Linked DNA regions of Anolis sagrei. The protein of the gene in region 1 interacts with the protein of each later gene in a pairwise test. Links are inferred from orthologs where the notes say so. Each region holds a gene or a part of one and is shown in the gene's direction. Other genes may lie near its edges. The genes, in order: SUPT20H and MAPK14.

Region 1 (7,963 bases):
CTCAGTAACAGACCTAGGTTTTCCATTTTGCAATGTGTAAAACAGCTCGCAATAAAGGTATCTCTCTTTTTCACAATCCTGCTGCTATAAAAAGAATACAACTGCCTAACTAAAGGCAACTGAATTCTTGTAAACGGGTGTGAAACAGCATGAATGAGACAGAGCATCATGACAAACCTTACTGGTGACTTACCTTGAAGTAAATATTCCATGTTTATGGTCCCGCCAGTGACTGGCATCATGGTGACTGGAGGAGCCTCCATGGTGAAATCTTCCCTACAAGGAAAACAGGATCAATTAGAATGGGCTGCGGATTTACAGGCTGGGGAATAAAGGTCTCCCACGAAGCTATCTAGATAAAAATGTATATATTACAGAAAAGTACATAAAACAGTTTTGTTTTAATGGGTTTTAAAAATCATATCAGATAAATCATTTTCTAAGGATGCAGTTTTAAACTGACATGTAGAATCCTCCTCAAACTCTGACTTGATAACCCCAGTACCATGGCCTGCTTATGAGTGGAACGCCTGCACAACTGCTGTGGGGAGGCTTTTCCTGCTTCCATATTTTCTGGCACTCTAATGGCACTTGGTTTGCCAGGGACTTTCTTTTCAGTGTTCATCCAGTTGGCCAGAGATTAGAAATCCATAACAAAAAAATGTTTTCTGATTTAGTACAGATGCATTTAAACTGAGCGCAAAGCAAGTAAGAACGCCCTCAACATTGTTATCACAGAACGGTTGTTTTCTGTCTCGAATTCCTCTGTTTTCTTAATGTTGTTCTTTATTCACTGTTCTGATTTTAGAGTTTTTAAATACTGGCAGGCATATTTTGTTCATTTTCATGGTTTCCTCCTTTCTGTTGAAATTGTCCACATGCTTCCTGTGGATTTCAGAAAACAGAGGAATTCCAGTCATGAATCAATCAGGGCCAGCTCACACCTCCCAACAAAGGATTGGAAGTAAACAGCCAGACCTTGAAACTGAAAGGCTCATCAATGCTAATCAAGGTGGTCAACTGCAACATTCACACTTGTCTGAGTGAAAGAGGGTCTACACTAGCAAACCTTTTGTATCATTACCCCAATACCCCCATGCATATGGGATATATTGAGTATGGTGATCAGATCATGATATGAATAAATGTAACAGTTTAAATAATGCACCAGTAAGGCCTTCTTGCAAACCACCATGAGAATTTGGGGGGGGGGGGAGGGGCTGAAGCCCCTCAAGCCCCCCCCCCCCCCAGCTACATGCCTGCTCAGCGGTTTAACCCACTGTGCCACTGGGGGCCTGTTAAATATATTGTATTACAAAAGGTGTTGGGTTCTGGCCCAACTTATCTGTCCAAACGCATCTCCCCTCATGAATCATCGAGGACTTTAAGATCGTCTGGGGAGACCTTGCTCTCAGTCCCGCCTTTGTCACAAATACGTCTGGTGGGGACGAGAGACAGGGCTTTCTTGGTGGTGGCCCCTTGGCTATGGAATGCCCTCCCAATAGGTAGGTACATACATCGATCAATCAGGAGGACTGCTGGGAGTTACAGTCCAAGAATAGGTAGAGAAGGAAGAAAGGAGAGAAAGATAAAGGGAAAGATAAGGGGGGGGGAGAAGTAGAGAAGGAAGGAAGGACAGAAGGAAAGAAAAAAGGGGAAGGAAGAAAGGAGAGAAAGGGGAGGGAAGGTTGGCCACCTTAACGCGTGGTGGGTACAGCTAGTGGGGAATAATAGGGATTGCTGTTATTATCAGAACATGAAGAATGGGAAACCCAACCTTGCCACCAAAGTAGGAAAGAAACCAATAGCCAGACAACGAGAGACTGAGAACAATCTTCCTGAACCTTTTACATCTACTGAATTGGACATGGCTCTCAATAAATGTAAAAAATGGCAAAGCAGTTGGTCTGGATGATCTACGGATGGAACAAATCAAGAACTTTGGCCCAAAAGCAAGGCACTGGCTGCTGGAGCTGATGAACTACTGCACTGCTTCCTGTCGGATCCCCAAAATCTGGAGTCATTGCCATCTTGAAGCCAGGCAAAGACTCAAGATGAAGCCAGGTAATGACTCAAAAAGCTACAGACCAATCTCCCTGTTGTGCCACCTGTACAAAGTTCTGGAGAGACTTATTTTGCATAGAATTACAGAAGAAATAGACCCGTGTCTGATCCCACAGTAAGCTGGCTTCAGGAAAGGCAAAAGCTGCACATCGCAAGTGCTGAACCTGACTCAGCACATAGAAGATGGCTTTTAAAGGCAGCAGATCACAGAAACTGTCTTCATAGACCTGGCAGCAGCCTATGATACTGTGAACCACCGCTCCTATTAATGCAGGCCAAAATCCCATTGGCTTTTTTTGCCGCCTCATCACATTGTTGGCACATGTTTAACTTGTTGCCCACGAGGACTCCAAGATCTTTTTCACACGTACTGCTCTCGAGCCAGGCATTGTCCCCCATTCTGTATCTTTGCATTTTATTTTTGCTGCCAAAGTGGAGTATCTTGCATTTGTCCCTGTTGAACTTCATTTTGTTAGTTTTGGCCCATCTCTTTAATCTGTCAAGATCGTTTTGAATCCTGCTCCTGTCCTCTGTAGTATTAGCTATCCCTCCCAATTTGGTGTCGCCTGCAAACTTGATGATCCTGCCTTCTAACCCTTCATCTAAGTAATTAATAAAGATGTTGAACAGGACCAGGCCCAGGACGGAACCCTGCTTGTGGCACTCAGCTTGTCACTTCTTTCCAGGATGAAGAGGAAGCATTGGTGAGAACCCTCTGGGTCCGTCCATTTAACCAAATACAGATCCACCTCACCGTAGTTTTGCCTAGCCCACATTGGACTAGTTTGTTTGCCAGAAGGTCATGGGGGACCTTGTCAAAGGCCTTACTGAAATCCAGGTACACTACATCCACGGCATTCTCCGCATCTTCCCAGTTTGTAACTCTATCGAAAAGATTAGTCTGGCATGAGATGGTAGAACAGAAGCTCTCCGAAGCTCTAGGTGCTCTTACTGCCCATTAAAGGGAAAACCAGCTGTTCCCCAACCCATCTAAAACACAGACATGTGCTTTTCATCTCAAGAACAGACAAGCATCCCGAGCTCTGAGGATTACCTGGGAAAGAATCCCATTGGAGCATTGCAACGCACCCAAATACCTGGGAGTCACTCTGGACCGTGCTCTTACCTGCAAGAAGCACTGTCTGAACATCAAACAAAAAGTGGGTGCTAGAAACAATATCATACGAAAGCTGACTGGCCCAACCTGGGGATCACAACCAGACACAGTAAAGACATCTGCCCTTGCGCTATGCTACTCTGCTGCTGAGTATGCATGCCCAGTGTGGAACACATCTCACCACGCTAAAACAGTAGATGTGGCTCTTAATGACATGCTGCCTTATCACAGGGTGTCTGCGCCCTACACCACTGGAGAAATTACACTGCTTAGCCGGTATTGCACCACCTGACATCAGCCGGGACGTAGCAGCCAATAGTGAAAGGACCAAGGCAGAGACATCTCTAGCTCATCCCCTGTTTGGGTATCAGCCAGCACGTCAATGATTTAAATCTAGAAATAGTTTTCTAAGATCTACAGAGACACTTGCAGGAACACCTCAGCAAGCCAGAGTCCAAAAGTGGCAGGCTCAAACCTAGCACCTCAACCAATGGCTGATACCAAATGAGAGACTCCCCCCTGGGCACACAGAAAACTGGGCGACTTGGAAGGCGCTGAACAGACTGCACTCTGGCACCACAAGATGCAGAGCCAACCTCAAGAAACGGGGCTACAAAGTGGAATCCACGACATGCGAGTGTGGAGAAGAGCAAACCACACTGACCACCTGCTGCAATGCAACCTGAGCCCTGCCATATGCACCATGGAGGACCTTCTTACAGCAACACCAGAAGCACTCCAAGTGGCCAGCTACTGGTCAAAGGACATTTAATCAACTACCAAACTCGCAAATTTTGTATTTTGTCTGTTTGTTTGTTTTGTTCTGGTAGAAATGTAATACAATTGACTGGTTGCCCTGACACAACAAATAAAATCAGAACATTGCATTTATTTCCTATGCAAGCAAAGTGATGCTTAAGACTAAAACACAGACATGTGCTTTTCATCTCAAGAACAGACAAGCATCCTGAGCTCTGGATTACCTGGAAAAGAATCCCACTGGCTGATACCAAATGAGACTCCCCCTTGGGCACACAAAAAACTGGGCGACTTGGAAGGCGCTGAACAGACTGAGCTCTGGCACCACGAGATGCAGAGCCAACCTTCAGAAATGGGGCTACAAAGTGGAATCCACGACATGCGAGTGTGGAGAAGAGCAAACCACTGACCACCTGCTGCAATGCAACCTGAGCCCTGCTACATGCACCATGGAGGGCCTTCTTGAAGCAACACCAGAAGCACTCCAAGTGGCCAGATACTGGTCAAAGGACATTTAACCAACTACCAAACTCACAAATGCTGTATTTTATCTGTGTGTTTGCTTTGTTCTGTTAGAAATGTAATATAATCGACTGGTTGCCCTGACACGACAAATAAATAAGAACTCCCCACGTGCCTTAAACGCGGGCCTACAAGCATTCAGCTGAACTAGAGAAGCAGCAGTAATAAGCACAACTCTCGCGGGAAGTGCGCTGCAGGCGAGATTTCAGAGTGCCCGTGAGAAGCGAGCAATTCCGGTCTCAGCAGCATCGCGAGATGCGAGTCTGCGCGCGCGCGGTTCTTCCTTCGGGCGGAAGCTGGGTTTCAAGAGCCGCTGCTGAAAGCGGAGGAGGAAGAGTCACTGGCTGTGGTGAGCGGGGGTCGCGGTTGTTTGGGGCCCTTCGCGGCGTTGCCATGTTATTCAGTCGCGGTTTGAATGGGCGGAGATACAGGTGTCGGAGTAAGCGGCGCTTCACAGGTGGCCGTCTGACGTGTTGAGGGCTGCCCTTGTCTCTTCTCTTGCATTGGAGCTTGGGGGGGGGGGGGGTGATAGCTGGGCCCGGAAGCTCCGAGTGTTACGCACATTCCGCAAAGGCGGTTGTGAATAAGGGAAGGGGAGAGCGGCACGCGGAGGAGGGCGGGGATAGACTTCAATTTGGTGGAAGGATAGAAAGGAGGGGATTAGGGTAACGTTTAGGATGAGGTTTAGGGTTTGGAGTAGGACAAGGGTTAGGGTTAGGGTTAGAATTAGGGGTTAGAGTAAGGGTTAAGGTTTTGTTGTTGTTGTTCATTCGTTCAGTCGCCTCCGACTCTTCGTGACCTCATGAACCAGCCCACGCCAGAGCTCCCTGTCGGCCGTCACCACCCCCAGCTCCTTCAAGGTCAGTCCAGTCACTTCAAGGATGCCATCCATCCATCTTGCCCTTGGTCGGCCCCTCTTCCTTTTGCCTTCCACTTTCCCCAGCATAATTGTCTTCTCTAGGCTTTGCTGTCTCCTCATGATGTGGCCAAAGTACTTCAACTTTGTCTCTAGTATCCTTCCCTCCAGTGAGCAGTCGGGCTTTATTTCCTGGAGGATGGACTGGTTGGATCTTCTCGCAGTCCAAGGCACTCTCAGAACTTTCCTCCAGCACCACAGTTCAAAAGCATCGATCTTCCTTCGCTCAGCCTTCCCTAAGGTCCAGCTCTCACATCCATAGGTTACTACAGGGAATACCATGGCTTTGACTAGGCGGATCTCTGTTGCCAGTGTGATGTCTCTACTCTTCACTATTTTATCGAGACTGGACATTGCTCTCCTCCCAAGAAGTAAGCGTCTTCTGATTTCCTGGCCACAGTCTGCATCTGCAGTAATCTTTGCACCTAGAAATACAAAGTCTGTCACGGCCTCTATGTTTTCTCCCTCTATTTTCTAGTTGTCAATCATTCTTGTTGCCATAATCTTGGTTTTTTTATGTTTAACTGCAACCTGGCTTTTGTGCTTTCTTCTTTCACCTTGATTAGAAGGCTCCTCAGCTCCTCCTCGCTTTCGGCCATCAGAGTGGTGTCATCTGCATATCAGAGGTTTTTAATGTTTCTTCCAGCAATTTTCACCCCAGCTTTGCATTCGTCAAGCCCCGCACATCGCATGATGTGTTCTGCAAGTTAAAAAGGTTGGGTGAGAGTATGCAGCCTTGCTGTACGCCTTTCCCAATCTTGAACCAGTCTGTTGTTCCGTGGTCAGTTCTGACTGTTGCTACTTGGTTTTACTTGGTTAAGGTTTTACCATTAAAGAAATCTTACATTCCTTCTTTAATATCTCTGTTCCATTCTGCGTTGTGCAAACAGTGCAGCGCAGCGGAAACAGCGTAAGGCTCAGCGCTTCCGGACCCAGCTTTCATACTATTACCGAGCTTGGTCTCAAACTGCAGCCCTCCAACTCCCAGAATTCCTGACCATGGAGCAAGCTGGCGAGGGCTTCTGGGACTTGGAGACCCACGCAGCTGGAGGAAGCCTTTTGTCCTGTTTGAGCGCCAGGCTATGGCTCTAGAGACACGGGTTCGGATCCCACTCCCACTGAGTGATCCTGGGTGAACCGCACCCTCTCGGCCTCAGAAAACTCCGTCGAAGGGCCGCCATGGGTCGGAAACGACACGGAGGCACATAAACTGCATGGAAAGGAATGGTATCTGAACAATGGGAAGAACTTCCTGAGCTGATCAGCAATGGAATATATTCCTGCCTTGGGGTGGAGGTTTTTAAGCAGAGGCTGGATTGCCATCTGCCAGGGGTGCTTGGATGGTGTGTTCCTGCAAGGCAGAAGAGCGCTGGACTGGACAATAATGATGAATTTATTGCCTGCCTCTCACTGTAACTGGACGTGGGATACAACATCGTTTTATTTATTTATTGTGTCAGAAATGAATTGAGAATACAGTTATAATGTATAAAAAACCACAAACAAAGTTAAAAACTTGGCATTGTGCTAAATTTCCTTTGACCAGTAGCTGACCACTTGGAGTGCCTCTGGTGTTGCTGTGAGAAGGTCCTCCATTGTGCATGTGACAGGGCTGATGCTGCATTGTAGTAGGTGGTCTGTGGTTTGCTCTTCTCCACACTCCCATGTTGTTGACTCTACTTTGTAGCCCCATTTCTTAATATTGGTTCTACATCTTGTGCCTTCCAAGTCTTCCAGCCTGCTGTGTGCCCAGGAAGGAGTTTCTCATCTGGTCTCAGCCGCTGATTGATGTTCTGGGTTTTAGCCTGCCACTTTTGGACTCTTGCTTGCTGCGGTGTTCCTTCAAGTATCTCTGTAGATATTAGGAAGCTATTTCTTGGTTTAAGACGTTGACGTGCTGGCTCATATCTGAACAGGGAATGGACCAGAGATGTCAATGCCTTGTTCCATTCATTACTGGCTGCTACTTCCCATGGACCTCATGGACCAACCCACTCCAGAGCTAGCTGTCAGCCATCGCCACCCCCAGCTTCTTCAAGGTCAAACCAGTTACTTCAAGGATACCATCCAGCCATCTTGCCCTTGGTTGACCCCTCTCCTCCCCCCCCCCCCCCCGGTATCATTATCTTCTCAAAGGTATCCTATCCTGTCTTCTCATTATGTGGTCAAAATACTTCATGGTTGCCTTTAATAGCTTTTCCTCCACTGAGCAGGGTTTTTTTCCCCTGGAGTATGGACTGGTTTGATCTTGCAGTCCAAGGCACTCTCAGAATTTTCCTCCAACACCATAGTTCAGAAGTGTCTATCTTCCTTTGCTCAGTCCTCCTTATGGTCCAGCTCTCGCATCCATAGGTTACTATGGGGAATACTATTGCTTTAACTATGTGGACCTTCATTGCCAGTATGATATCTCTACTCTTCACTATTTTATTGAGATTGGTCACTGCTCTCATCCCAAGAAGTAAACATCTGATTTCCTGGCTGTAGTTTGCCTTTGCTGTAATTTTCACACCCAGAAATACAGAGTCTGTCACTGGCTCCACATTTCTCGCTCTTTCCACTGTTTTAACATGGTGAAATGTATT
Region 2 (7,699 bases), on another chromosome or scaffold:
CATACATACATATGTGGTGGCAATGTAAATATGTAAATAATTTTTGGGAGAAAGTATTTAGAGAAATAGAAGATATAATGAATATGAAAATTGAGAAAAGTCCTAGTATAGCCTTATTATCACTATATAACAACAAACAATTGAACAAGGAGGATAAAGAAGTGATAAACTTATTAACAATAGCAAGACTGCTCATAGCAAGGAACTGGAAAAAAGAAATAAATATACAAATAGAGGAGTGGTACAAGGAAGCATGGAAATTGGCAATAAATAATAAGCTGACATGTATATTAAAAGTTAAAAAAGTATATGGAAACAAAGTGATTTTGATGTTGTATGGGGTAAATTTGTTGTAAATGGTTTAAAAAACAAGGAAGGTTACCGCCACAAGAAGAAATGAGATTTTGGACAGATGATATGTAAAAGTTGTGGCTTGAAATGGGGGGAGGGGAGCACAGTGGTGGGGGGAAAAAAGGGGGAAAATGCTTAAGCAGAAGAAAAAGATTATATGTTAAAGAGGGTGTTGAATAATATGTAACTGCTATAAACAAATGTATAATAAATGTAATAATTATGATAAAGTAATAAAAATATTTAAAAAATAAAAAATAAAATGTATATCTATAAAAAGATACATATTAAAATTTATTTCTATAAAATGTGTATTAAAATGCAAAAAAACACAACCCAGATTAAACAAAGGACATTAAAATTCATGTTTAAAAGCTGTTTTTATAAAAGCATCTTGGTTGAGTGACAGCAACAAAAAAATTGCCAGACTATACCAGATGCATAATTCTTAGGTGTAAAAATAATATCCCATGAGATTAGCATAAACACAAGGACTGCGAGAGAAAGTTGCACCATCTAGTTGAAGAATTGGCAGGAAAGCCACAAATGTAATCTTGGATTTCCCAGGGTGCACCTTCTACACTGTAGAATGAATTGCAGTTTGGCACCACTTCAACTGCTGTGGGGTCCAGGGAGCTGTAGTTTGACAAGAGCTTTAGCCTCCTCTGCCAAAGAGTGTGTATGCCTTGCCAAAGTACAACTTCCAGGATTCTGTGCCATTGAGCCAGGGCAGGTAAAAGTGGTGTCAAACCGCATTCCTATAGCAGGCATGGGCAAACTTTGGCCCTCCAGGTGTTTTGGACTTCAACTCCCACAATTCTTAACAGCCTACAACCTTGTTGGTCAGGAATTTTGGATATGACATCTGTTTACTGGTTGACTCATAAATTAGTGGCAAAGGAAATTATACTTGTTCAGGCCTTGGTTGTGGGATTATGTGTTTGTAATTGTTTTGTAATTGTTTTGTGTTCTGTTTACACTGTAATGTGTTAATATATGTAAATTTAATTAAAAAAAAGCAATTGTGGGAGTTGAAGTCCTAAACACCAGGAAGGTCAAAGTTTGTCCATCCCTGTTCTACAGTGTAGAGCAGCGTTTCTCAACCTGGGGATCGGGGCCCCTGGGGGGGATCACGAGGGGGTATTGGAGGGGCTGCGAAAGACCATGTGGGGGGGGGGGGGTTCAGAATGCTCTTTGATTGTAGGTAAACTATAAATCCCAGCAACTACAACTCCAAAATGTCAAGGTCTATTTTACCTAAACTCCACTAGTATTCACATTTGGGCATATTGAGTATTTGTACCAAGTTTGGTCCAGATCTATCAACGTTTGAGTCCACAGTGCTCTCTGGATGTAGCTGAACTACAACTCCTAAACTCAAGGTCAATGCCGACCAAGCCCTTCCAGTATTTTCTGTTGGTCATGCGAGTTCTGTGTTTCAAGTTTGGTTCAATTCCATCGTTGGTGGAGTTCAGAATGCTTTTTGGTAGATGAACTAAAATCCCAGCAATTACTATTCCCAAATGGCAAAAATCAACCCCCCCCCCCCCCCCTCCAAGCCCCACCAGTATTCAAATTTGGGCATATTGGGTATTTGTGCCAGATTTGGTCCAGTGAATGAAAATACATCCTACATATCAGATATTTACACGACGATTCATAACAGTAGCAACATTACAGTTATGAAGTAGCAGATGACGTCCAAATCTGTCACTCCTTCCCACCCCGTTACTAAGGAGGCTGTTCAGCTACTGAACCAGTGCTTGGCCACTGTGTTGGACTGGATGAGGGCTAACAAATTGAAATTGAATCCTGACAAGACAGAGGTCAGTCAAAAGGCCGAACAGGGCATAGGGTTACATCCTGTGTTGGATGGGGTTACACTCCCCCTGAAGACGCAGGTTCGCAGCTTGGGAGTGATCCTGGATTCATTGCTGAGCCTGGAACCCCAGGTTTCAGCGGTGGCCAGGGGAGCTTTTGCACAGTTAAAGCTTGTGTGCCAGCTGCGCCCGTACTTTGGGAAGTCTGATCTGGCAATAGTTGTCCACGCTCTTGTTACATCCCGAACTGATTACTGCAACACATTCTACACGGGGCTGCCTTTGAAGCCTGTTCGGAAACTTCAACTAGTCCACCGGGCTGCAGCCAGATTACTAACTGGAGCGACATACAGGGAGCACACCACCCCCTTGTTGTGCCAGCTCCATTGGCTGCCGATACACTTCCAAACTCAATTCAAAGTGCTGGTTTTGACCTATTAAGCTCTATGCAGTTTTGGCCCAACTTACTTGTCTGAACGCATCTCCCTCTATGTCCTGCTTTGCAGTTTAAGATCATCCGGGGAGACCCTGCTCTCGCTCCCGCCAGCATTACAAATACGTCTGGCAGGAATGAGAGACAGGGCCTCCTCGGCTGTAGCCCTCTGCCTGTGGAACTCGCTTCACAACGAGGTAGATCGGCTTCATCCCTCCTGTGTTTTAGCAAGAAATTGAAGTCGTGGTTTCCGAACCGTCTTCAAAGACATCCCCATGTAGAGTGCGTTGCAGTAATCTATTCGGGATGTGACCAGAGCGTGGACGACCATAGCCAGTTCAGACTTCCCAAGGTACGGGTGTAGCTGGCGCACAAGCTTTGACTATGCAAAAGTTGACGTGGCCACCGCCAAAACCTGGGGTTCCAGGCTCAGCAATGAATCCAGAACCACTCCCAAGCTCCGAACCTGTGCCTTCAGGGGGAGTGTAACCCCATCCAACTTTGGATATGGAATTTGACTGGAATGGTGATACGGTGGTTAATACTGTTTTTATTGTTTTATTTAATGTTCTATTTATGTTTTAATTGTTGTTATATTGCTTTGTTATATTTAATGGCATCACATTGTGCCAAATTTAAGTCATCCTGAGTCCCCCTTCAGGGGTTGAGAAGGATGGGGTAGAAATACTGGAAATCTATATATATATAAATGCTCTGTGCATAATGAGTACCTTAAAAACAAAAGAACCAGTGAACGAAATCACACCAAATTTGGCAACAAAACGTCTCACTATACAAGGAGTGGCCATCACTCAAAAAAATATTATTTTGTCATTTGGGAGTTGTAGTTGCTGGGATTTATAGTTAACCTATAATCAAAGAGCATTCTGAACTACATTAACGATGGAATTGAACCAAACTTGGCACACAGAACTCCATGACCAACAGAAAATATTGGAAGGGTTTGGTGGGCAGTGTCCTTTGGTTTTGGAGTTTTGTTTTTTTGTTGTTGTTGTTTTTTTTTTTTGTCGTGTCAGGAGCAAGTTGCTTCTCTTGTGAGAGAATTGGCTGTCTGCAAGGACGTTGCCCAGGGGACGCCTGGATGATTTGATGTTTTTATCATCCTTGTGGGAGGCTTCTCTCATGTCCCTGCATGAGGAGCTGGAGCTGATAGAGGGAGCTCAACCGCCTCTCCCTGGATTCGAACCTGCGACCTGTCGGTCTTCAGTCCTGCCGGCATAGGGGTTTAACCCACTGCGCCACCGGGGGCTCCTACTTTTGGAGTTGTAGTTCACCTACATCCAGAGATCACCGTGGACACAAGCAATGATGGATCTGGACCAAACTCTACATGAATACTCAATATGCCCAGATGTGAACACTGGTGGAGTTTGGGGGAAATAGAATCTTGACATTTGGGAGTTGTAGTTGCTGGGATTTATAGTTCACCTACAATCACAGAGCATTCTGAACCCCACCAACGATAGAATTGGGCCAAACCTCCCACACACAACCCCCATGTGGGCCACAGCAACGTGTGGCAGGGGACGGCTAGTAAGTAAATAAATAGCAACCAAAATAATTTTGTGATTGGGAGTCACCACAACAGGAGGAACTGTATTAAAGGGGTCCTGGACTAGAAAGGTAGAGAAACACTGGTGTAGAGAGAGAGAGAGAGAGAGACAGACCAGCTGGAGCTGTCACAAAATCTCATCCTTCCTGTTCTCAAGCTCCGCCTTCTTTCGCCTTTTCTTCTCGCTGCCTTCAGGCTCTCGCGAGACCTTCCCGCTGCTCCGCGGATTCCAGAGCGCTCCAGCTAGGTTCCATATTGGGGCATCTCGCTGGGAGTTTTTTTTTTTCCATCCATCTCCCGGAAGTCTCGCGAGACCTCCGCGATCGATTGGTTCTGGCATCTAAGGAAGAAGGGGAGGTCGGGAGAAGTCAGGCGCGGGCGAGTCCTCGTCGTTGCGGGGCTGAAGCGGGCTTCTTCCAGGGCGACCGCAAGCCTCCTTACGCTGAGGGGGGAAGGCTTTTTGCAGGGGGTGGGGTGAGGGGGTCCCTAAAAGCAGTTCCCAAGGAAAGAGGCGCCCCGTGTTTCCCCTGCAGCGGCACGAGGCGTCCGGGCCAGCTGAGGCGGCGGTTGGGCGCGCGCGCAGCACAGAGAGAGAGAGTGTGTGTGTGTGTGAGTGAGTGAGTGACGGAGAGACCCCTCCCCTTTCCCCCCTCCCCTCTGAAGGGGGCGGAGCCAAGGGTCCCGTGCGAGGGTCTCCCTCCCTCCAGGCCGCGCTGGGCGGGGCGGGCCCGGGGTCGCGATGACCCACGAGCGGCCCAAGTTCTACCGGCAGGAGCTGAACAAGACCATCTGGGAGGTCCCCGAGCGGTACCAGAACCTCTCGCCGGTGGGCTCCGGGGCCTACGGCTCGGTCTGGTGAGTGGCAACCCTTCGTCGAAAAGGGAGGGAGCTCCTTAACAGAGCCTCAGGGTCACACGTTCAAGGCAGACCGCCTTGGCCGCATCTGCAGTTTGACACCCCTGCAGTTGCCCTGTCTCAGTGCTGTGGAGTATTGGGAGTTCTAATTCGATGAGTTAGCATCTCTTTGGCAGAGATGGCTGAAGGCTCCTAGGATTACAATATATTCGTAATAATACAATATAAAAATCATATATTGGCCAAGTCTTTCATGGCTGGGATTATTTGCTTTAGGTTTTGTATTGTTATATTGTGTGTTGAGGCCTTGGCCTTTGTAAGCCGCATCGAGTCCTTCGGGATATGCTAGCGGGGTACAAATAAAGTTTAATAATAATAATAATAATATTTAGGGTTATGGGGGCTTGGAGAGTCTCCCGAGTACTGGTGGCTGCTGCTGGGCTCCTCCAGACCTCTGGCCATTGGCGTAATTTATTTCATTAAAATAATAATAATCACTGGATTGTTGTAGGTTTTTCGGGCTATATGGCCATGTTCTAGAAGCATTCTCTCCTGACGTTTTGCCTGCATCTATGGCAAGCATCCTCAGAGGTAGTGAGGTCAGATTTCACAATAATAATAATAATAATAATTATCTTTACTTATACCTCGCCACCATCTCCCCGATGGGGACTCGGAGCGGCTTACATGAGGCCAAGCCCAAACAACAATTACAATAAAGAAAAAAAAACCAAAACACAAACCGAAAATGCAAACAATAACAATAACATCATATTAACATAAAACATACGCATACATAACAATGTAAAAATTACAAGTAGCACAGGCAAAATAACAATAACAACCTGTGAGGATGCTTGCCATAGATGCAGGCAAAACGTCAGGAGAGAATGCTTCTAGAACATGGCGACATAGCCCGAAATACCTACAACAACCCAGTGATTCCGGCCATGAAAGCCTTTGAAAATACATTAAATCAGTTTACAAAATCAAAATACAGATGCAGGCAAAACATCAGGAGAGAATGCTTCTGGAACATGGCCATATAGCCCGAAAAACCTACAACAACCCAATTATCATATACTTTATATTACTAATAATATTACAGTTTAGAAATACAGTACAATATTGTAATATTTAATACTATATTGTGCTGTGCCAATAATATAATATATTGTATAGACATATGTTATTGATAATATTATAATGTAATACAAAATAATACTAATAATACAGTGTAATAATTTATATTTCATATTACATGTAATACTGCAGTATGGTGGTATAGTACAGTATAGTAATATATAATACTAATATTGTGCTGTGCTAATATTATATATTGTATATACATATATTATTGATAATATTACAATGTAATATAATACTAATAATACAATATAATAATTTTATATTCCATATTACATGTAATATTACAGCATAGTGGTATAATACAATATAGTAACATGTAATACTAATATTGTGCTGTGCTAATGATGTAATACATTGTATGTACATATAACTTGTAAGCTGCTCTGAGTCCCCTTTGGGGTGAGGAGGGTGGCATGTAAATGTCATAAATAAGTAAATAAATAGGATTCCATAGCACTGAGCCATGGCAGTTAAAGCACTGACAAAGTGCATTAATTCAACATCCTGACTGAGAGTACATCTACGCTGCAGAATCAGCACAGTTTGATACCAGTTTAACCATGGCTCAATGCTGTCGAATCCTGGGGGTCCAGCCATATCTGCAAAATCGTGCATTCCATAGCATTGAGCCAAGGCAGCTAAATTGGTGTCAAACAGCATTCAGCTCCTCTCCTGTGCAAAAGCTGGCTGGCTGGCGATGCCGCCTCTACGCAGGTGCATTGTGCACTGTCACAGTATCTGCTGCAGTTCGCGCGTCTCTCCTGCAAACCTCCTTGACCCCTTCGGTTCTGTCTTTGCATGCACCCCACTAGCTTTTGGTGCTGAGGAGGCAGCCTTTGGCAAAAAGGAGTTGTTTCATAATTGTTCAAGGTTGGTTTTTTTTTTGAGATTGCAAGGGGTATAAAGAGGCTTGGCATTTTAGAAGCTACTCCGGCATTATATCGACTTTCATTCTTGTTCTTTTGCCAGCCCAATGTATATTGAGTTTCCCTTATTTTGAATTCCAGAATCCTCCAAAATTTCAATCACTCTTGGTTCCAAACATTTTGGCTAATTGGGGTCAAATTTTGTTGCTTTCTCTTACTGCATGATATTGCTCATACTAAAGTTTCCATGTCTTCGTGACAGAAGGCATTGAGGCCAGCCTTATTATGTTTATCTTACATTGCATCTACACTTCAGAATTAATGAAGTTTGACACAGCTTTAATTTCCTTTGCTCAATAATATGGAATACTGGGATCTGTAGTTTGGTGATGCACCAGCACTCTTTGGCAGAGAAGGCTAAAGACCTTGTAAAATTTCAGCCCCCATGATCACATTGCATTAATCCAACAGTTAAGCAGTGTCAGACGCATTAATTCAACTTTGTAGGTTCATCCTTAGTCTGTGATGTACATAATCTCCTGCCTGTACACATGCACACACTGGAAAAAGTTCAGAGTAAATTAGGCTGAAAGTAACTAGCCTAGGATCACTAGCCTAGGATCTTGAATGTAGCTGTTCATCCTAAGGGATG

Evidence for each region.
Region 2: the proteins of SUPT20H (region 1) and MAPK14 interact in binary tests that used the Homo sapiens proteins (3 or more experiments, as listed by UniProt). The link is inferred for Anolis sagrei from reciprocal best matches to the Homo sapiens genes SUPT20H and MAPK14.

Annotation. Positions count from the first base shown.
Region 1 is NC_090022.1:166,996,806-167,004,768, reverse strand, and holds the start of SUPT20H (transcription factor SPT20 homolog), read left to right. Parts: upstream 1-4,712; 5' UTR 4,713-4,811; intron 4,812-7,963. Other genes in the region: mediator of RNA polymerase II transcription subunit 18-like, read right to left, coding at 194-263. UniProt on the Homo sapiens protein: Required for MAP kinase p38 (MAPK11, MAPK12, MAPK13 and/or MAPK14) activation during gastrulation.
Region 2 is NC_090024.1:186,304,369-186,312,067, forward strand, and holds the start of MAPK14 (mitogen-activated protein kinase 14), read left to right. Parts: upstream 1-4,457; 5' UTR 4,458-4,916; coding exon 4,917-5,032; intron 5,033-7,699. UniProt on the Homo sapiens protein: Serine/threonine kinase which acts as an essential component of the MAP kinase signal transduction pathway.